3 linked regions of the Lytechinus pictus genome follow. Each later gene encodes a partner of the first gene's protein in a complex. Links are inferred from orthologs where the notes say so. Each region holds a gene or a part of one and is shown on either strand. Other genes may lie near its edges.

Region 1 (7,755 bases):
TGATAATACACTGTCCCATATGTGCTTATCTTCGTAGGCAATATCTAATTATGATCATTTTTCAGCGTAAATTTCATGTTTCATAAGAACAAGTAAATTATGTACCAGATCCAGATGTACAATGATATGGTCACATTTCACCTTGATTTTAAAGACTTTCCCAAGATATCATCGTTTGCTGCAACTACATTAATTTAGATTTCAGTTAATTGGGTTAAAATGTTCTATGAAGTTTAACCCACAATATTCACACACACACACACACATGATGAAAATCTCACCTAACTCATCATCTGCTTTATCTTCTTCTTCCTCCTCTTTATCATCACAAACTCCATCTTCTCCTTCTTCATCATCTTCATCCATATTGAATGACAGCGTTCCAGCATTCTTCAGTTTCTTCTTCCTCTTTCGTTCCTTTGCTCTGTACAAACACATGAAACAATGGATACAGAACATGCCTGTCATTAATGTTCGGCTTATTGGTATTCATTCTAGAAATACAATTTCCTCTTCCTGGAAATTCTCCGAGAACATTATCGAGGGTCAAATGAGACAGTCTATATTTCAGTTATTCTCAGTGTATATAGAAATATTTGAAGCAATCTCATTTAAAACATCCCTGTCTTTCAATTCAATTCTATTGAATGGTCAGTAATAAGGGATGGGTTGGAAGGGGGGAGGGGGATCAATGAATCAGCTATTCAAGTGAAAGAGATGTTGCATGCATGATACTAGTCAATGTAGTAGACTGATTTGTATTGCAAAATGTACTTGAATTAAAAAATTACTCTACATTTTGACTCTGTGCACTTTAGGATGATTTCTTGGTAAAGGAAATGTCAAATTTTTTCAAGTATCATTTTTCGGTTTTGTCTCAGCCCTGGGGGGTATTTCATTAAATAAATAGTGATTTTCACTGGCAACTGTTATAAGCTTCTGAAATCCTTGCATCTGATTGGCTCGGAACAAATAAGTTGGTGAAAATCACTAACAAGATGCTCCATGAAACACTCCCTTAATTTTGCCATACGTTTTTGTTTTAACAACTTTTTACTTATTAAACGCATTCTATGAGTTATTTCTGTGATGTGAAGCAATGGAAAAAGGAAGAAGTTTACATTTTTTTAATGACGATATAGGGCACACAAAGTTTAAGAAAATAAAACTGTACAATTTGGATCTCACACGGTTATGCCAACGTTTCACCAAATAGATTACGGTGGAGATTGGAGTGTATGAATTGACTTACAGAGCTTTAGATGATTGTGCAAGTTCCTTTTCTCTCTCCTTCACCAAGTCCTCTCTCTTTGCTCTCATCTGATCGAAGGTGACCAGACCTAAAAAGAAAGAAAGAAAAAGAGGAGTTGTGACAAACAAACAAATCTCTAAATGCAAAGTACAAACTGATTTAAAGGCCAAGCCCAAATACAAAAATATGCTGACTTGAAAAGAGAAAAATCAACCAAGCATGAACCTGAAAATGTCTTCAAATATTCAATGTTCAATAGGAAAGTTTGACATTTTACTTTTGTTTGAATTCACAAAACATTTATATACACATCCTGGTGAGAATGCAATTGAGGAAGCTGAAGACATCACCCCACTTTACTTGTGTATTTCATTATATGATACGTGAAATATCTTCATTTTTTTGGTTTATTATAATGTGAAAAAAAGTTTGATACTTCCCTAAAATGTTAGGTCGCCATTGTTGTGATCTATTGTGAGTCGATGAAGTCCTTTCTCAATGTTAAATTCACAATTCAAAGAAACAATCTGCACCATTGGAAAAGCTTTGACATTGCAGTCAATGGGGATTTTTAGGGCTTAAAAAAAAAAAAAAAATTTGTGGGCTCTTTGGAGCATTTCAAAATGGATACCACACAAAGCCCCATGTACCCCCCCCCTCTTTGATTCAATAATGCAGATGATGAAATACTGTACCAATGGTGCTGCTCTTGAGTTGCTGTTCCACTGCATCATAATGAGCCGAAAATTTTGCGCTGATGGTAGACACTCGACTGACACTGTCCTGATAACAAAAGGAAACAAAATCATAGAAAAAACAAACTTTCAGGAATGCTTTTTTTCAAGAGCAAACAGTATCATTATGTCATGGACCATCATTAGATAAAAGTTATGAATTATAGGATATTATTGGCCATGTGTCTCATGAGGTCGCCTACTTTCGTGTTACATGGTGATTTTCACTAAGTATACACCCTATGATAGTAAAACTATATATTTTCTGAAAGGAAATCGCTCAATGAACCCAAATATTCACTCAGAAACAGCAATATGTGTAAGGCATTAGTGTTATATTATGTTGAATGGAAAATTTTTAATATTTTTCAATCTCATATTTGTGATTATAATAAAATACATGGTCCCCCGATGACCAAAATAATGACATTTCTGTACAGTACAGACCTTTTTAACAATGTGTAATTTTATTGGGTTTATGGTTATGAAATTACTTCAAAATCAACGAGAACTTATGCAATCTTTTTCCCTAAAAATAATAAATGTATATTGTGCATGCTATTTCTGCCTGCATTGCAATTACATTGTGGTTAAATCTACTTGTTCATCTGATTTATTAAAGGTATAAAACAATTTAAAAGAAATTCTGATAATGATATCATTAGACCAAATAATACTCCTAAGATTCTTCACATATTGTAAGTCTGAACAAAGCCAAGTATTCACTTATTACTTTCATCCTACAGAATAGTCACTTGTTTTCTGTATCTTACAAAAGGTACATTGAAATTAAGAATTACTTAATATAACTAAGAATAACTAATAAATGAAGAAAATGTTTCAATATGGAAGGATTGTTGTGAAACTTGAAGAATTTCAACAATTTTCTATTTCTTTTTCAATGTTTTTTGGTATTTGAATGATAATGACATTGCCAAAACTATTTTTCAATCAATTAACAGTAAAGAAGATTGTTGTAGTTTCAATATGATACCAAATTTTTAGTTGGAAGTCAAGTTTTCACAAAAATATTAACGTTCTACCCAAAATAGCACAAAGTATTGAGAATCAATCCCCATTGACTTCCTACAGGTGGCATCGCTGCCCGCACCATCCCCGGTGCTCCGTCTTTAAAGATGTGTTCTACTTATCCTAGAGCAATGAAACTTTCTAAATCATTAGCCAATGAATTCAGCTTGAAAATGATACCAAACTTGTTGGCATAGCTTCTTTGATTTTGAAAATACTTAGGAATAACTCAACACAAATTAACCAAAATATGTAACACCACCCATTTTTGGTCGGCGACCTCATGACACATGGCCTATTTTTTCTCTACCCCTCCAAGGCTCCATCCACCATCTTCACACTCACAGCAACTGTTTATTTTTCCTGTACTATGATGAGGCTTATTTCCACTGTGTTTGCTTATTCTCATTTTCATGCTGGCTTTCCACTCAAACGCAGAGAAAATTAATAAGAAAAATACAATACAAATTATCAATTTGATTACATATGTACAAACAAATGAGACGCGTCTTGGACAGTTATCTCTCGTAAGCTAGCAAATATTCTCCAAGTTGATAACGCCATCCATCCGCACCTCCACAGAGTATACTTTACAATCCAATGTCATAATCGATTATGTTTATGAGAGCATGGATCCACAAAAGCAGCACTCCAGCAGCTAGCACTGTAGCAGGCGCAGCTCAGCCTCAGGCAGCACTAAGTAAGCAGCTAGCGGTAACTTAGACAGCTGGCAGCCGTCTGTTTCGAGGAGTTTTTTAACATTTTTTTTTTTTTAATTTCTCCTCATACACAGACGGCTCGCTAGCGTGCAGCCACCATTAGGGGACTTGCAATGCAAAATCCCCCCGTCGGGGCTCTTCAATTTTTGTCTTTAATGAGTAAAAATTTTGAAAATTCACGCGACCAAAATGCAAATTAATATTCCCTCTTGAGTCTTGGCATCAATTGCCAAAAAACCGAGAAAAATCAAGTTAAAAGGAACAAAAACAGTGACTTACCTCGGCTGTCGCGCAAATTCACTTCCCCGTTTTATCCGATCTTAAGTACATAAACATATGGCCATTGAGTCCCCTGTACAGATCGCGCTAGAACTTCGGTCTCTGTATTTGGTGAGTGAAGCCAACGGAGTTCAGCTGAACAACCAACATAACAGAGACCGAAGCTTTTGGTCTAGCGGTAACTCAGCTTAGCACACGCCGAGACTCCCCGCGCCTCTCAGCAGCAAACGGCTGACTCACAAAGTTCTCGGTGCACTGCACCATTGATTGGCAGTCGTCTACTCCCCGAATAATGTCAGTTAATTCACCAATATTACCGAAAAAAATATTTTTCAGATCTTACCTGCTCTATGCGTTGTTTTAAACGTTCTAGCTCTTCTCTCTGTTTCTCCCGTTTCATCAAAAGTTGACGAACTCTTCCAGCCTCGCTGGCTGCTCCCTTGTACTCGGCCATTTTTTCCAGCTTAGGACGATACCACTATTTTGGAGGCCGAGGCTCCATTGAAAAGTTCACATCGTTAAAAGTGTGATAAACTTATAGAATGTATCAATATAAATTGCATTCAATATCGAGACAATATTAATTTATTATATTATTCAATCATTCTTTTTTCATCCATAATGAGTCAAAATGCTAAATATCTCCATCAGCAACCACAAAGATATTCCCATCAATTAAGACCGCCCCTTACCATAAGTCTAATCTCCCACTTACATAATACGTTCTTTGCTGGCATATTTCAGGGAAAGTCCCCAAGTAAAAATCTTAAAACTTGTGGAGAATTATTGAATGCAGTCATGTTTTGCCGCAATTTTCGCAATGTTCAAAATATTCATTCTCACTTAATATCAAGGTCTGTTAATGGGACCGAACTCATACCAAACAGATCTGTGAATTGCTTTCATAAATGGACAGATCCTGCCACAGGAACAATTCACATTGGAAGACACACTGCCGGCACTTCACATCAAAACTCTTCCCCGGCAGCACGGGGGGTTGCCACATCGGCCTCCCGCTTCCAAGATTCTGTGAGTCCGAGCTCTGCAGCGGCGTCAAGCGTCTCTCGAGTCACAGCTTCTCCAGTCGGATTCGCCAAAAATCTTTGTCTTGGCAAATTTAACAAGGTACCGTATCATATGTTTACCCCCAAAATATGTACCGTCATGACCGTACTCCCGGAGTCCTATTTTAATTTTTAGTTTTAAACATATAATCTAGATCTAATTTAGACTGTGACTGTAGCTATAAACATGTTAAACCAGCAAAATTTACTCTACGACTATGTTTAGCAACAGCTAAAATCAACCTTTTTACTGGAGGAGTTTTTATTTTTTGAATTTTCTAAAACTTTTTTAAATTTCTCCTCCAGTGGAACAAGACGTAGTCCAGTGCAGTGGTCATTTGTTTAGCGTTTTTGATTTAGAATAAAAATCTATACCCAAGACTAAGACTAAGTTATATCTCGGTCACATTTGCTCTATGCCTGGCGGCCGTACGGCGAGTTGAAAACAGCCGTTTTAACATTTTGTAACAGCTACATATGAATAAAGACGGATAAAACGGCTATTTTTGACTCGCCGTCAAGCAAATGTAGCCGAGGTAGCAGACATATCACGAACCAATCTTGTCCAATTTTTCTGCGCAACCTGATTTTTACATTAAAATTTCAAACTCATCTTGCTCATTAATGCGTGAAGTGTTTGTCTCGTATTAGGTATCAAAATAAACAGGAATATTTAATTATATGATCCTGTATAAAGTGAAATATCATAATTCTTTTGCCTTTGAAGAATAAAGACATGGGAATCCTGGTTTCCTTTTTTGTGGGATGCACTTTATTAATTACTACAAACCAAGCAGGTCTTTGCGTTCATCCACTTCTGGCTTCCTTGTTATTCCAAAAGTTTCAAAAACCTGGGGGGAAAGATCATTTGCTTTTGCATGCCCCCTTTGTGGAACAGCCTTCCTGAAGACATTAAAAAATGTACCTCTGTCGAAACTTTCAAAAATCTAAAAACTTTTTTATTTAACTCTTAGCTCTTTATGCGCCTTGAGCACTCTACAGAGTGGAGTTGGCACTTTATAATTCACATTATTATCATTTTACATTATTATTAAATTATCCTGTCGTATGATTAACTTTGCGTTTCATTACATATTACTTTTAGGATGATGCATTCCCTTTCCCTGAAATCACAGTGGAGCAGTTTGAACATCTCAACCAAATGTGTGATCCTATTGAGAAATATTTCAATGAAGAAGGTAGGATAGTTATTTTAAAATGTTTCATACCCATGTATATGTTCTATCTTTTGTATAGAGAGCTTACATGTAGTTTAATATTTTGAATAAAATGCTTATAATGATATGTATCATATGTATATGTTAATGGGTTTTTAACTGGTCCTATGGGACCTTAACCCTGTCACACCATACTTTGTTCTGTTCATTTACTTCACTATAATAATGAGGTGTCTAGGGACCATAATCTAGTCAACCAGTGTAAATTCAAGGTTACTGAAAATGTTTTAATATCATTTTCTTACTTAAAAATGTTAGAAAGTAAAACCAGATGAAGATTTCCTTTTTTGAATCAGTATAAAGAAGTATAGAATTATTTCATACATTCATCTTTGCCACATTTCTTTTATTTGTCAAAATAAGCAAGGTGGTTGCTATTCTTTGAGATACCAAGGATAGCAGTGAAGACAAAAATCATAGGGAAATCACATTTGTATCCTGTCATTTAAAAGAAATAGCAACATTGTCCACTGTCAGATTTGAAAGCTCGCTTACATTTCTTGATTGAGGGGATACAAGAAAAAATAAAATATAATGGAAATATGTCCTTATTTAAAGAGATTTTAATGTTTTGATATAATTTGTTCATGTTGCTACCTCAAGCATGCTTCCAGCCACATGTATTATTTAGGGCTGTGAAGGTCACCTGACTATATAAGTAATACAAGAATGAAGACCTTGATGCACACATTCACAAAGAATATTGGAAAGTCTGATACAGCTAGTACAAATTTCAGTCTTAAATAATTTTCAAAGCTCATATTGAAAATAACTCTTAGGCCTATCTTTTATGCTGAACCCAGTTAGAGAGTCTGAATTTTCTTTTTTTTACCTTCTACAGTGGACTCCAAAACAATTGATGTAAATGCCAAAATCGATGAGAAAACATTGCAAGGTTTAAAAGATCTTGGTCTCTTTGGTCAACAGGTTCCTGAAGATTATGGTAATAAGAATTTTGTGTGTGTATTTTTTTTTACTTTGTATATGCATAGGATAAGTATTTCAGAGATCACTTTGTTGCTTGAATAAATTGAAGCTCTTTTTTTTTAATGAATTGTGTAATATTCAAAGAGTTGTACTTGAGGAATTATTGCTATTTTTGCATGTTACCTGTAATATATCAAAGTTCTATTCTGGTAGTTGGCAAAATAAATATTGTATGTAGGCTACATATATTCTACAAAGGTGAAGAATTATGTGTGTTTGTGAGTAGGTTGTATTAAAAAAATAATATGATATTCCTCCCTACTTCCCCTCTTCTTTCTCTGCCTATTCTTCAATGTTTGATATCTTTCTTTCTATCTTATATACATATTTCTGTGGTTAATAATTATTATTTTCAAATTCACATTGCTTTTGTTATCATAATTTTCCTGAGTAAGTTATATCTGAAAATTCCATTTTCTTTGTGATATTTTTTTTTGTTCCCTTTTTTTATAT
Region 2 (7,172 bases), on another chromosome or scaffold:
AAATAATGAAAAACAAATAATCATTATTTATAAATAATGAAAAACAAATAATCATTATTTATAAATAATGGAATGTCGAACTATTATTATTTACAAATAATGAAGTATTACTTGGAATTATATATAAATAATTAGAAATGATATTTTATATAATAGTAGTTATTTACAAATAAAATGTAAATTATATATAAATAATAGTTATTATTTAATAAATAATGATTATATAACAAATAATTGTTCTATATAATAATGGTACATTCGGCGCCTCATACATGATAGACAAAATTAAAATACAATTACAAGGTACTCTAGTAGTCATCTTTGAATTTGAAAAAAAAAAATAAAACATTCTCTTTCTCTTCTTCTCCTTTATCTTAATACAGTTATTGCAGTTTTGATGCGTAGTTGACAGTTTAAAAATGTCCGAACTGACTGAAATTTCATTTAAAAAATGGCTCCTGGTTCCACCAACGTGGCACCTGGTCATCCAAAAAATAAAAGGGACCAGGAGCCACTTGCCTTCAAATGTGGCTCCTGGTCCACGCCGAGTTAATAAAAAGCTTGAAAATCAATATTCTATAGCAGAACAATATTTGCTTTTATTATTGCATACTAGTAGTGCCGGTCTAGCTGTTTGTTGCCCCCAAAAATGTAGCTCCCTTAAAATATAAGAAATAGCCCTCAAAAGATAGCCCCTAAAAATAAAAACTATTTCCTACTCTGCTCAACATAACTACCTCAACCAGTCTCACATCACAACACAATTCTCACATTTTTGCCATTACAGATTTTGAGCACAGGGCCGGAGCACAGGACTCGTCCGTGTAATATTAGGCAGTGGGTACTCACCAAAATGGGGTAGAATGGGGTCGTGATAGCACCCCAAATAAAAGGAGAAAAAATAAATTATGCACTTACCTCGATTATATGGATGAAGGTCTATCGTGACACAAAATCCTGACATCGAGGCACAAACTGGACTCTCAAAAAAAGGATAAGTTCTACCTCGTTCGTTCTCCTTCTTTCAAAATTGAAAACAAAATGGCCTATCGATACCGAGAACGAACGCGACATGGAGGTCTAACTTTTCCTTTTTTTGAGGGTCCAGTTCGTGCCTCAATGTCAGGATTCTGTGTCACGATAGACCTTCATCCATGTATGAGGTAAGTGGCTAAGTGCATAATTTTCTTTTCCCCCTTTTATTTGGAGTGCTATTGATTGTGATCCCATTCTACCCCATTTTGAAGAGTATCCCTGTCTGCCTAGTATTACACGGACGAGTCCTGGAGCTCATTGGGTTATCTAGACCTTAGTGAATGAACAAGAGGAAAGCCGGCTTTGCCTTTGGATGTTCTAAAGTTTTGAGCATTATGAAATTATTTTCTGATGTGTACGATCATGTACGCGTTCAGTAATACAACTACAAGTACAAGGCCGGTCGGTAATAGTAATCACCTCACTAACGTTAAACACGATTTTAAACTTAAGTTGACGTGCGCACGGCCAATATGAGAGAGTGTCTCCCAAGAGAGAGATTATCTCCAATATCAGAGACTTTTGTAAAGAATTTTGGGTATCCAATAATTCAGAGACACTCAGTCTCCAGTTTGGGACCAATTTCCTTCGTTTACATTTGCTGCAAAGGGATTAACCTGGCAGCAAATAAAAATGTGATAAACAGATTCCTCATGAAAAATCACCCCTTTGGCTTTGCAGTCTACTTTAAAAATCCACCGTCTACTTTTGTTTTATTTTTGTTGTCAATTTCATGTTATACAATTACAAATAATGCATGCAGTCGAGTGCGTTAGTGGAAATGCAGAGCACGCGAGGTTTCTTTAGATAGGTGCCGCACTGTGCACGAGCCGCTGGCGGCGAGTGCCCAGCGTGCACCATCTGAAGAAACCGAGCTTTCTCTGCATTTACTTTTACGCACGACAGAGCAAGTGCATTATTTGTTTTATAAAATAGCAACACAGAAACAAATTCTTGAAAAGTTACAGTTGGACTTCTACCGCACTGGTTTGCTTGAGCGTGCAATGTCAATTTTCGTTGCGCACCTTTTGCACTGCCGTGCAGTGCACAAAAAAAGTTGGGTGTCATGTGACGCGTATTGGCCAATCGCGATGCTTGAAATAATACACCTATTTTATAACATCCACACACAAATGGGCTTCTAAGTTCTATTCTTCTACTTCTAGCTGACCGCAGTGAGCATGGCGAGACAAAATTTTGGATGGAAAAAATCATGCTTTTCATTTTGTTGGTGTTGTTTCTTTTGCAAAGCAAGTCTCCAATATGGGAGATTGTCTCCCATATGAATTGGCCGTGCACCTCTACTAGTACTGGTCAGCTGAAACTTAGCTTTAGGCTTAGGCCCTAGCCTTTTTTACTAGGCTTTACTTTAATTTAGGCCTAGTTCGAAAGTTTTGAAAGTGAAAATGGAAATAGGGCCTTTACTAAAGTAAAGGCTTTAGAAGTTTAGGGGGCCTAGACTCTACGTCTACAGCCATTCCGATCACAATATTTGGAAAAAGCTTTGGGCATAATGACCTTGAAATTCAATTGAGACTTGTTATGACATTTGTGAACAATTACTGGTGGAGAAAATCCCAGGATATTCTCTGGGAGACGGCTGGTGCGAAACTGCATGAGCGCCCAAACTTGTGCCCCCAAACACCAAAAACCATATTGATGGGACCGAACCGCGCACCCAAAGTTAAGCCCGGCCTGAAACGCAATAGCCTACCGTAAACGATGAAAACAGTGGAAGGGAAAGTCTGGTCTGACTTTGTTGACCACATGTATGAGGATCTCATATTGCAGCATGATAAGACATATAGTTTTTACACAAATAAATCTCAATAAGTAGAAATATTTACCCTATTTGGCTTTGCTAATTCATTGCTGTGGCCTAGCTCGCTCTGGTGATTGTCGATCGTCTCCTTACTTCGATCGGATCCGGATCGGAGGGAGCATGCGTAATTATTCGCGAACAATTCCAATACTGCTGCTGCATGCATGCAAAGCTCAGTTTCTAAAATTTTAAGGAATCATGATCCCATGATGGGATGCCAAGTGAAAAAAAATTGTGGGGCAATTTTATTTTGGGATATATGGTGTATATTTTAAAATGAAATAGAGAATTGCCATGCAGGCACCCCCCAAAAAAAATCATCCACCGTCATGACCGTGGCGATTTTTAGATAGTTTTTTTTCTGGAAGTGGTTGATTTTTCAACACAGTACTTTCAACTTCATTTCTGATTTGCTGACCTCTTTCATAGGGTATTAATGAATCATTGACAAAATTTATAAGAAATTGCATTTTTACGTGCATTTTAGGAAATTAGGGCTCAAATGCAAATTTAAATTTAGATGATGGGTTACTTAACCTATAGCTATGGCCTTGCATCCACTCATACACTCCATCATCATCACCATTATCATGAATACCACCACCATCCACATCATTATCAATATAATCACCATCACCTCATCATCATCAATATCATCACCATTATCATCACCTCATCATCGATCACCTTATCATCATCATCATCACCATCAATATCATCACCACCACCACCACCAGCATCATTATCATCATCATCACCTCATTATCATCATCACCACCATCAAATACAATCACCATGCACCATCACCATCATCACCATCCCATATCATCATCATCCCTAAATTGAGAGATTTGCTTACGGGATTTGCTTATATAGTAGTTACAGTTGTGGGTTGATTGGTGTGACGACTTATTTACTGTTTCATTTGATATAATATATATATAGAGAGTTGCCCTGATTTTTTTCACTTGTTATTTATAATGTACTTTGTGTGGATAAGTTTTTTTTATGAATTATATGTCTTTATGGTGCACTCGATCATCACAAGCACTGCTTACAGAGTTGCTACCTCCCATTGTGTTGTTATATTTTTTAACTTGTATTAATGCTTTTATCTTTCTTGAATTGAATCATATCATCATCAATATCATTGCCATCACCATTATAATATGTTGAAGGGGAAGTTCACCCTGAAAAAATGTTTATTGTGAAGAAAAAAAAAAAAAACAGTGGTGAAGGTTTGAGAAAAATCCATCAAAGTATTAAAGGAAACCAAAATCCAAGATGAGAAGCAATTTTATTGGAAAGAGTAAAATGAGAGGAACAATTTAAAACAAGTTTCATCAAAATCGGTGGTGAAATAAGCAAGTTATGGATGTTTAAAAAGTCTTGTACTTTCTATGGGGATCCTCAAATTGTCCATGCTTCAAAATGGCTGATTTGTACACAATTTTACAGATTTTCCCCATTATCTTTAAAATTGCATATTGCCTCATTCTGAGCATAAAATATGTCATTGGAAAATATAATTCACACCACATACCGTATGTCAAGGTCAGGAGGAGATGTGAAATCTGTAAAAAAAAAAGGGGAATATCAAGTGTACAAGACAAATGGAGGGTTGTCCACAAAATCAGATTGAAGCATGTTTGTCAATTTGAGGATCCCCATAGAAAGTACAAGACTTTTCAAACTTCCATAATACCCTTATTCTATAACCCATTTTGATGGAAACTTGTTTTAAATTGTTCCTCCCATTTTACTCTTTCCAATAAGATTGCTTCTCTTCTTGGGTTTTGGTTTCCTTTAAAAGTTATTAGAAGTCTTATTTTTTTATTTGTGACGTCATATGCGAGCGGCGACACAGCATTTGCTCTGGTGACAATTGCTCCGGGCTTTATTTCCTGTAAGATATAGGGTTAGGGTATAGGGCTTTATGTTAGGTTTAGGATTAGAGGATAGGGTATTAAATCCAGGGTCGAAGATGGCCATTCCATAATTTTGTGGAATTCACAGCAGAGCAATTGTCCCCAGAGCAAATATAATGGTACACAATATATGCGAGCAGCTTAACCATATACCGGTATCATGTAGTAAAAAAATCAATAAAATGTCCCTTTTTCAACAACAAAAATGAAAATGATTTTTATTGTACCTTCAGTATGTCAACAGACAAATTATGTCACTGCGATGCTTGAAAGAAAAAAATATCTAGTCATAATGAAAAAAAAATGCATTTTATACATTAAGGAGCAGCTACTGGTATATGAAGTCACAAATAAAAAAAACTTGAAATTTTAACAACTTCCTTTATCTTTGATGGATTTTCCATAAACCTTTACCAATATTTCAATGTTTTTCTGGTATTTTTACAATAATTTTTTCTTTAAGGTGAATTTCCCCTTTAATGCACTTCCTCATGTGTAAACCTGGACAACCTAAAGTAATGGCTCTCCTTGTAGTATATATATGAAATAAGTAATAGATGACTAAGTTTTGTGACCAAAGGATTCATATACACACACCATTACCAAGGGAATGATCTTATATTTCTCATCTTTCATTTTTATCCTTGCTTCCCCATTGAGAAAATAAATCACCCTTCCCAAGATCACCATAAACTGATTTAGATTTGAGATACTTCTGTTGCATTTGGCAGTCATATTGATGCACTTGCATAAAAATTGTTTTTTTCGGGCAGATGCTCACAACGGCATTTTTTCTTTGCGAAATTTGAAGTAGCCTTCCGAGTGCACATTTCATCACCTGTATATATCTCTTCATATATACCATCCCACTCCAAAAAGTGAAGATATAGATGGGCAATTCCGTAAAATAATCAACCTTTTTGTACATCCGACCCCCATTTTTAAGTTTTACTTTACTTCATGAACTGACCAGGTCATGATTGTTTGAGAGCATTAAAGACTATTAAAAGAACCAGAAATCAGAGACAGAAAATGTCATGAAGGTCCCACAAACATGGGGTCGGACATACATACTTTTTGTAATAGCCCAGATATACCGGTATACAGGAGGTAAAAACTAAAGGGAGATGAGGGGATATTTATTGAAAAATTATTTTTTACATTCCTTTTCATCACCTTCCATTTCAATTCTTACTACATGCTCCATTTCTCACCTCTCTCTCTCTAATCTCCATACCAGTTCTCCATTCCTCCTCCCTCCCAATTTTCTCTGACTCTCTCCTCCCCCCATCCTTATCCCCTTCTCTCTATTTCTCTTCTTTCTCTCAAAATTTCAGGCTTGTAAAGACAAGGGAGGGGGAAGGGGACAAGGTTCAGATATCAGGAATGTGAATAATTAATCATAGGAAACAGAAATAAGTTCAGTTCTGCTTCTTAGTGGTCTTTTATTGTTACCGGTACTTTTTTTGTGTAAAATATAACATGAACACATGCCTGGATCGTGGCCTGAAAAGCAACATCCCTCTGATGTAAATTTATGGAAATGATGTGTGGTATTCTTTAAAAAAAATGCATAGGTCATAATAGCTACAGTTTATACAAAAGACAAACAGAATTCAATCAAGTATGTTTATTCATTATTTAACTGCTTTATTTACAGGAAGATCGTAGGACAAGGAATAGTTATAAGCTTTACATGACTATCATATAATAGTGTCACTATTATCGAATAGGAGATCAATTATCATGCAAATTTAGACCTTGCCTACCGAGGTGAAATTGAAAAGTCAATGGTCCTTTAACTTTATATTGTTAACAGAACTCCCAACCACTTTAGCTGCAAAATCGGAATGGTTTATCACATTAAACAAAATATAATGAGAAAGAAACAGCATTTCAATCAGAGAGTAAAGGAATAGTCGAATAGAGTATAATTAAATATCACAGCAAGAGGTAAGAAAGGTGACGATTCCCACTCTCTTCATCATAATCAGAATTAGTCCAGGATAGAAGAGGCATAACCTTGTTATTTTATATATACAATATTTTTTGATGGTTTCTTGTCAATTCGAGGGTGCTGATTACGAATCTGGATGATGCCACTCGTGTAACCTTGAGCATTTTCCGCAAATTGGCAAAATCCAATATGGCCGCCAAAATATGCAAATTACCCATGAAAATCATAAAATTGTCCGCACATTGGCTATGAAATGCATGACATTGTGTGGCAGGAATTAAATACTCTGAAAAAATAATTTTTGACAAAATATTTATTTTCCTGATATTCAAAATGGCTGCCAAAGGCCCTTGTATACGCTATTATGTACAATATGAATAGGGAAAACTAATTTTCACAAAAATGAGCACTAAAGTGCAAAAAATCGCGA
Region 3 (7,039 bases), on another chromosome or scaffold:
GATGTATTATATTGTGCAATTACTCGCATTGACTCTATGGGAGAATATCAGATGAGTCACTGTTTTACACTACATTTGTCAATTTAATGCTGTATGCAGTGTGAAAATATGATGCAGATGCATACCGGTATTTCTTAAATGAGATGAACTGAACTTCTAATATAAGGGGAAAATAACAATCTGACTCATTGTTACACTTGTACAGTGTAGAAGTCAAATAGACTGCAACCTTTATAGCATATCATGGGCTTATTGGTTCATGATTCATTTTTACTCAATGAATAATGAATTCCATTCATTGTAATTCAATCCCTTTGTAGTTTTTATACCTACTTTGTAACTTAATCAATTGATCCCCCATAGGACATTTCAATAACAAATTACAAATAAGGTGCCCCTTAATTACATAACATTTTTAGTTACAATTTTTATATCCTTATTTATCATATTAGGCAAAATCAGATCGAAGGATCGACATTTATACAGTGCGTCCCACAAAAAACGAAACCGAGATTTATCGATGATTTATCATAACTTAATCGCAAATACAATAGACAAATGACCTACCATTTTAAAGCTTAGAATCTCCTCTTTCATCTGAAATTACTTAGATTATTTTTCATTCACGCATGAGTGAGCAAAAACAATTTGAAAAGCGGATACCAAAAAGTCACTTGGTGGGCCGTATCTGGGTTTTAAAAAGAAAACCACATTTTTAAAAAGTTCAATATCTGCTCTTTAATTTGATACCTCAATTACAGAAAATGGTCAAGAAATAAAAAAGTTCTGGTTATTTGAAATAAGGCTTGAATTTCAATAATTTCATAAAATGAAGAGGTTTTACAGGCTAGAGTTCACACTCACTCGACACTCCGTTTTGTTGACGATCAGCCATGCATTAAGTCTTTTGTTACCGTGCGATAGCTTCAGTGGGAAACCGGTGAAAACACGTTTATTTAATGAAATTATGGAAATACAAGCATTGTTTCGAGGGATCATAACTTTTTTACTACTTGACCATTTTCTGTGATTTAGGTATCAAAGAAAAGAGAAGATATTGAACTTTTTAGTCATGTGATTTTCTTTTTGAAATTCAGATACCCCCCGCCAAATGAGTTTTTGGCATCCTTTCTTTGAATTGTTTTTGCTCAATCATGCGTGAATGAGGAATAGTCTAAGTAATACCAGATGAAAGAGGAGATTCTAAGCTTTAAATTGGTAGGTCATTTGTCTATTTTATTTATGATTAAGTTATGATAAATCATCGCTAAATCTCGGTTTCGTTTTTTCTGGGACGCACTGTATAACTAATTTTCTGGACAATTGCTAGGGAATTTGATCACAGTCCATTTTCATATCCTGAAGGAAAAAAAAATCAATATTGCCAGGGGCACTTTTAGGAACTTTCCCTACAATACTACTAGACAAACAACTTCAGTCTCTGTAAATTGGTTGTTCCACTTAACTACGTTGGCTCCACTCACCAATACTGAATGGGGACGATAGTAAAGTGTCAGAAATTGTTAAATAAATGCCCAGAAACGACAGTTATTCATGTCTACTACAATACATGCTACTTAATTCCTTCTTTAGACTAGACCTATAAATTTGAAATTTGACATTATTTATGAACCGTATTGTATGATCCTTTTAATTTAAGTTTTTTCCGTACCGTAGACTTAATTATTCTAATAACGTTTATTTAAGTGTTAAACTTATTGAATTGGAAAAAAAATATCATCAAAAGGTTTCAAGTGTTGTGTAATCTCACCACTTAAAGTAGTCCCTTAAAGCATATAAATGAAAAATTAATAAATAAGGTTTGAGGGAAACAAAAACAGACAATCATCATGAATGATCATGGGTCTTCATGACAATCCCAATAATCCCATACCACGTCATGCATGACTACTCATTATTTATAGTTATACTTATATATCATTCATAGTCCATACTCTCACTCTAGCTCTGCTCTGCCTCTGTCGTGCTGCATCGGCAAATGCACCAACTAAGACAAAGGTCTGATACAGCTTGCAGCCTAGGAAGTGAAGCTTACAAAAAAAACAGGTAAATTTCGTGATTGTGTAATATTTAATAAAGTATTAAATTTATTAAAGGACAAGTCCACCCCAACAAAAAGTTGATTTGAATAAAAAGATAAAAATCCAACAAGCAAAACACTGAAAATTTCATCAAAATCGGATGTAAAATAAGAAAGTTATGACATTTTAAAGTTTCGCTTAATTTCACAAAACAGTTATATGCACATCCTGGCTGGTATGCAAATGAGGAGACTGATGATGTCATCCACTCACTATTTCTTTTGTATTTTATTATTTGAAATATGAAATATTCTCATTTTTTCCTAATTGTCGAGTGATACAACGATTGATTCCTCCCTGAACATGTGGAATTAGCATTGTTTAATACTATATGGTTCAGTCAAGTTGGTCTTTATTGTCAAATCTATAAAAAATGAAATATTGTATAATTCAAACAATAAAAAACAAAAGAAATAGTGAGTGAGTGACATCATCGACTCTCTCATTTGGATGTAACTGGCTCGTTCATATAACTATTTTGTTAAAAATAAGCAAAACTTTGAAATGTCATAACTTTCTTATTTTACATCCGATTTTGATGAAATTTTCAGCACTATGCTAGGTTAATTTTTCTCTATTTATTCAAGTCAGCATTTTCCTGGGGTGGACTTGACCTTTAAGAACGTTTTTCTACTCCACGAAAACATATGTGTGGGACTAATATAGCTCGCAGCTACTAAAAGTACTAGCAGCTACCATGCATAGGAAGAAAATTAGGAAATTGTATTCTAAGCCAAAAAAAAGTGCGTATAAGCATATAAATATTTTCGGGGGAAATATAAATACGAACCAAATTCAAAAGGATAGGATGGACGATAAATAACAGCTGAATACCTTTCTCTTTCAGTTCACATGGGAGCATACATTGATTTTACTGGGATACCTTCTCTGATCTGAACTAGACTCTTTTCATAGCTATACGTTACCGGAACTAACTAACGGCACGCGGTATAGAGATAAGAGCACAGTCTTCAAGGCTTTAAAGGGGAGATGACGTCATGATTATTTACATTGCTCGAGCTAGTCGAAGCTGAAGCTCAGCCTCAGGCCTCAGTTCAGGTTGTAATTTCATTTTTGTTGTAATGTAACCAATATTTGATCTCATTTTCTTAAATCTTATCCACAATTGCCCACAATTACCTCCACTGGTGTTCGTGCAGGCTCCACTCCACTTCACTACCGATACACTACGCTTTGTACTGTACGTCTGTAGCGTAGAAGCCGGCCGTGGCGTAGGCGTAGTCTAGTGACTGTGTACTACTACTAGTACGGTACTAGTATTACTAGCGGGGAGCCTCGCCTCGCATGTTTTTGTTTGTGAAGTTGTGTGACAGTGAGTGAGCTGGGGTCTGTTGCATGCCCGGGGGGGCCACTTCCATTCACGAGTGGATACCATGCGCGACCATGGGGTCTCGAAAAAGCACCCTAAACACGTAATTTCCATATTCTGAAAATGCAGCCCTTAACATAAGTATTGGCGTGTGAAACCCTACCCTTAACAAGTATTGGAAACAAAACGATATACTCTTGGCCCTGACTCTTGGCAAATATTCCTTGATATATGATCCCCTGAACAAGTACAGGAATGTTTTATTGTTACGGGTCCTTCGGTCGTCGGCTTTACCTTATTTGGTATAGTACGACCCCATCTTCTACACCTCGCGCAAATCGGACTCTAAACACGAAGTGTTGGGGCAAAATGGACATCCTTTAAGGCTTTATAAAACATTTTAATTTTGTTTTATCATTCCCGCAAATTCGACCCTAAACACGTAATTTTACTAGCGAAATAGACACCCTTTTTTCATTATTTTTGTGTTTTTGACACCCTTATCACGTTACGTACGTAACGTGCCCTATCGTGAAAAGGACATCCTTTTTACGTGTTTTTTTGGTCGCGCATGGTATCCACTCGTCAATGTAAGTGGCCCCCCCGGGGTTGCATGAAAGGGTCTTTCCAAGGACCGTCTTTCGTGTCGCCCATTTATTATGATGCGCCATGTGAAACACATTTTAAATAAATTACCTGCAAACATATTTTATTCATCTGTTAAAGTAAACAAAATCTTTGTTTATAAAATGATGTGATATATCAGGAAATTGTAATTTGTATACAAATCGATTAAAATGCTAGCTAACAAATTTTATTTGTTTATCATAGTACATTTCAGTAAAATCCCGCATACAGCGCATCATAAAATATGGGCGACACGAAAGATGGTCCTTGGAAAGACCCTTTCGTGCAATCGGCCCCTGAGCGGGGAGTGGAGCCTGCACGAACATGACTAACCGGTAACCCAGGGAGCTCTGGCCCGCTTCGTGGGCCGGAGCCCAGGAGTTGACCGTGCAAAACGAGGGAGACACTGGGGTCTGTTGCATGACGAGATGAGCGATACGTAGCCGTAGGAACGTCCTAGGACCATTCTTCCGAGATAGGAAGATTGGCGACAAATCAGCGCTTACCGTTTCACGGAGGTAATTTTGTCTTCCAAGTCCGCGACATCGTTTGATATCGATTATAGTATCGGAAAAATATTTAGTCTTCATCGTCACCTGAACCTTTTATTTCGGAATGACAACTTTTCATAAAATCATATATTTCAATAAATGGAGATCAAATAATGTTTTAATTATTACTGATTGTAGAATTGATGTATGGAGCTTACTTTATGAGGTAAAAGGAGAAAAAACTTTAAAGATTCACAAACAAACTGGATAAAATTGCAAAATTTTCATTTATATTTCTCTTATTTAGAACACGGTGTCCTTTTAGAGACACCTTTCATTGATATTTCAACGAAAGAGACCCTTGACCAACATAAAAATTGAATTAACTAAGCAATTTTGACATTGTATTAATTCAATATTCTGATTTTTTTATAGAATACTTATTTATAATGATGATTTTGCAAATTATGCGTTAAATGTTATTTGTTGAGGTAAAAATAGGGTTTGAATGGAGTAAACAAAATCAATGTGTCTGATTGTTTGAGACTAAAAAGGAAAATATGAGAGGCTGCTTGTGAAAAATCTTATTTATCTTATTTGTCAGATATCACGCAAGAAATACCTTTGCATGATGAGTAATCGAAGACAAGCAAAATATGAAAATTGCTGCAAACATGTCCAAGTGGGTAAAGTAGTGCTTTGCAATAATAAAACATAGAAAAATGTGTGAAATCAATCCGCAATGGAAAAAATACAATTTTCAGAAACAATGCTAAAAATGACAACTATCATAAACGTTGGTCATATTTAAAGTTGATAACTTTATGATCACAAATTTCCTTGTTGACCATAGTAGATTGCGAGACAAATGAATACCCTCTAGCGATTATTTCAGTCCGCAATAATGAACCTATTTAGTATTAACTTTATGGAAGTTTATATAAGAATATAAGCTTTAAGAATATTATGTTCAACATTTCAAAGTTAAGGAGTCGAGACTACATTATTGCTTTAACATGACATAGGGGCCGATAGGTCCTACCCTACGATTTAAAATGCGCCTCTTCGTATGGACTTTTCATAATCTTTTCTTTTATTGATACAACAAACTTATCCTCATTTATAATGATTGTGATGGATTCGTAAGCTATTAGGCCTAATCTATATATTAAATTCAATTAGCTATTTTGTTAAGTCACTGCAGATTTTTTTTGTTTCATTCATCATCTCAAGTTAGCACAAATCCATCAATTAATTTTCATTAATTAAAATTAATCTCGGCAAAAAATAATAATAATTGTCATCAGTGGCGTACCTAGGATTTTCCACAGGGGGGGCAAAATCGGCCGCCAAAAAATTTGACAAGCAAAAAAAAAAAAAAAAAAAAAAAAAAGGTCTTCAGGCTCTTCAGGGGGGGCATTAAAGGTCTTCAAGTTCGTCAGGGGAGGGGGCAAAAAAGGTCTTTTAAGCTCGTCAGGGGGGGCAGGTATATGTCTTTTGTATGGGTCATGGTTGCTCGTCAGGGGGCAGAGTGCCCCCTCTGCCCCCCCCCCCCCCCGTAGGTACGCTAGTGATTGTCATTATGAAAATGAAATAAAAATAAATAAATGATTAAGCATGTTTAGTAACATCTTAGTTTTGTATCGTGCTGTCTTTTTTTCGTTGAACGTTATAAACACGTTTTTTACCATTCATAATGATCTCTTTAAAAAAAAAATAGTTTTCATGTTGTTTATCTAATGAGAGGCTGCCGCTCATTTCGATATTTCAACTTCAAGTTTAATTTAAAAAAAAAACTGGAAAGGGGGTGGGGAAAAGACAGGAGGGAGAATAAAAGAAAACATACTAAAAAAAATTATTTGGGCCTAGATTGACCCCGGAGAAGTTAAAGTGACACCCGTTTTGGGTCGTCTTGCCATGCAAGATGATCTGGGCCCCGTCTTACAAAGAGTTACAATTGTTTCAATCAATCTTAACTCTATGAAAATCCATCAGTGTCATAATTTTTTCTACAGGAAATTTGCAAAATGTCCTTTGTAAACAAAGAACACATCGAATTATCTAGAATTCAATGAATTTATGGATATACATTCATCTATAAAAAAAATTTGAGCAAACATGCATTTTATATGTTGACTTTGCTGGCTTTCCATAGTTGTGATTGATCGGATCAATCGCAAGTCTTTGTAAGACGGGCCCCTGAAATTATCCCCCCCATATAAAAAATAACTTGGCGCCATCCCAGATAAAATGCATCAGAGTGCACTCGAATGACCCCCCCCAAAAAAAAAATGTTTAAAGGTGATATGTCAGTGTGGCTTGCCATAAACGCATATTCTCTCAATGCTGACGGTGGCGGGCGGTGTGCAAAGAAGATCATGCCTACGTAGGACATGTCTGGAGGTGTCTTTCCAAGGATCATTCTTTGCATCGCCCAAATCGGCTTTGTGAAACAGTTGAGCGATATCTCGTTCTTATGTAGAGCGGTA

What was found. The genes of interacting proteins can lie anywhere in the genome.
Region 2: the proteins of complex I assembly factor ACAD9, mitochondrial-like (region 1) and evolutionarily conserved signaling intermediate in Toll pathway, mitochondrial-like are in contact, whole or in part, in a cryo-EM structure (PDB 8PHE), measured with the Homo sapiens proteins. The link is inferred for Lytechinus pictus from reciprocal best matches to the Homo sapiens genes ACAD9 and ECSIT. Residues at the interface, in NP_054768.2 of Homo sapiens: Leu180, Thr181, Asp188, Ala189, Ala190, Ser191, Ile192, Lys228, Lys239, Asp240, Lys241, Ile242, Phe293, Ala296, Met297, Leu300, Ile431, Met434, Tyr435, Leu438, Thr439, Leu441, Gln442, Gly445, Thr449, Leu516, Gly520, Lys521, Ile523, Met524; in NP_057665.2 of Homo sapiens: Pro321, Glu322, Glu323, Trp324, Asn325, Leu326, Tyr327, Tyr328, Pro329, Met330, Leu332, Asp333, Leu334.
Region 3: complex I assembly factor ACAD9, mitochondrial-like (region 1) and transmembrane protein 186-like share a complex: the UniProt entries of both Homo sapiens proteins name them as parts of the mitochondrial complex. The link is inferred for Lytechinus pictus from reciprocal best matches to the Homo sapiens genes ACAD9 and TMEM186.

Annotation. Positions count from the first base shown.
Region 1 is NC_087247.1:7,772,466-7,780,220, reverse strand, and holds the start of complex I assembly factor ACAD9, mitochondrial-like, read left to right. Parts: upstream 1-4,723; 5' UTR 4,724-4,811; coding exon 4,812-5,138; intron 5,139-6,182; coding exon 6,183-6,276; intron 6,277-7,156; coding exon 7,157-7,258; intron 7,259-7,755. Other genes in the region: protein FAM50A-like, read right to left, coding at 282-424, 1,253-1,340, 1,948-2,035, 4,357-4,467. UniProt on the Homo sapiens protein: As part of the MCIA complex, primarily participates in the assembly of the mitochondrial complex I and therefore plays a role in oxidative phosphorylation.
Region 2 is NC_087254.1:24,882,754-24,889,925, forward strand, and holds the start of evolutionarily conserved signaling intermediate in Toll pathway, mitochondrial-like, read right to left. Parts: upstream 3,008-7,172; 5' UTR 2,883-3,007; intron 1-2,882.
Region 3 is NC_087249.1:2,092,597-2,099,635, forward strand, and holds the start of transmembrane protein 186-like, read right to left. Parts: upstream 3,008-7,039; 5' UTR 2,937-3,007; exon of another isoform or gene 2,893-2,936; intron 1-2,892. UniProt on the Homo sapiens protein: As part of the MCIA complex, required for efficient assembly of the mitochondrial complex I.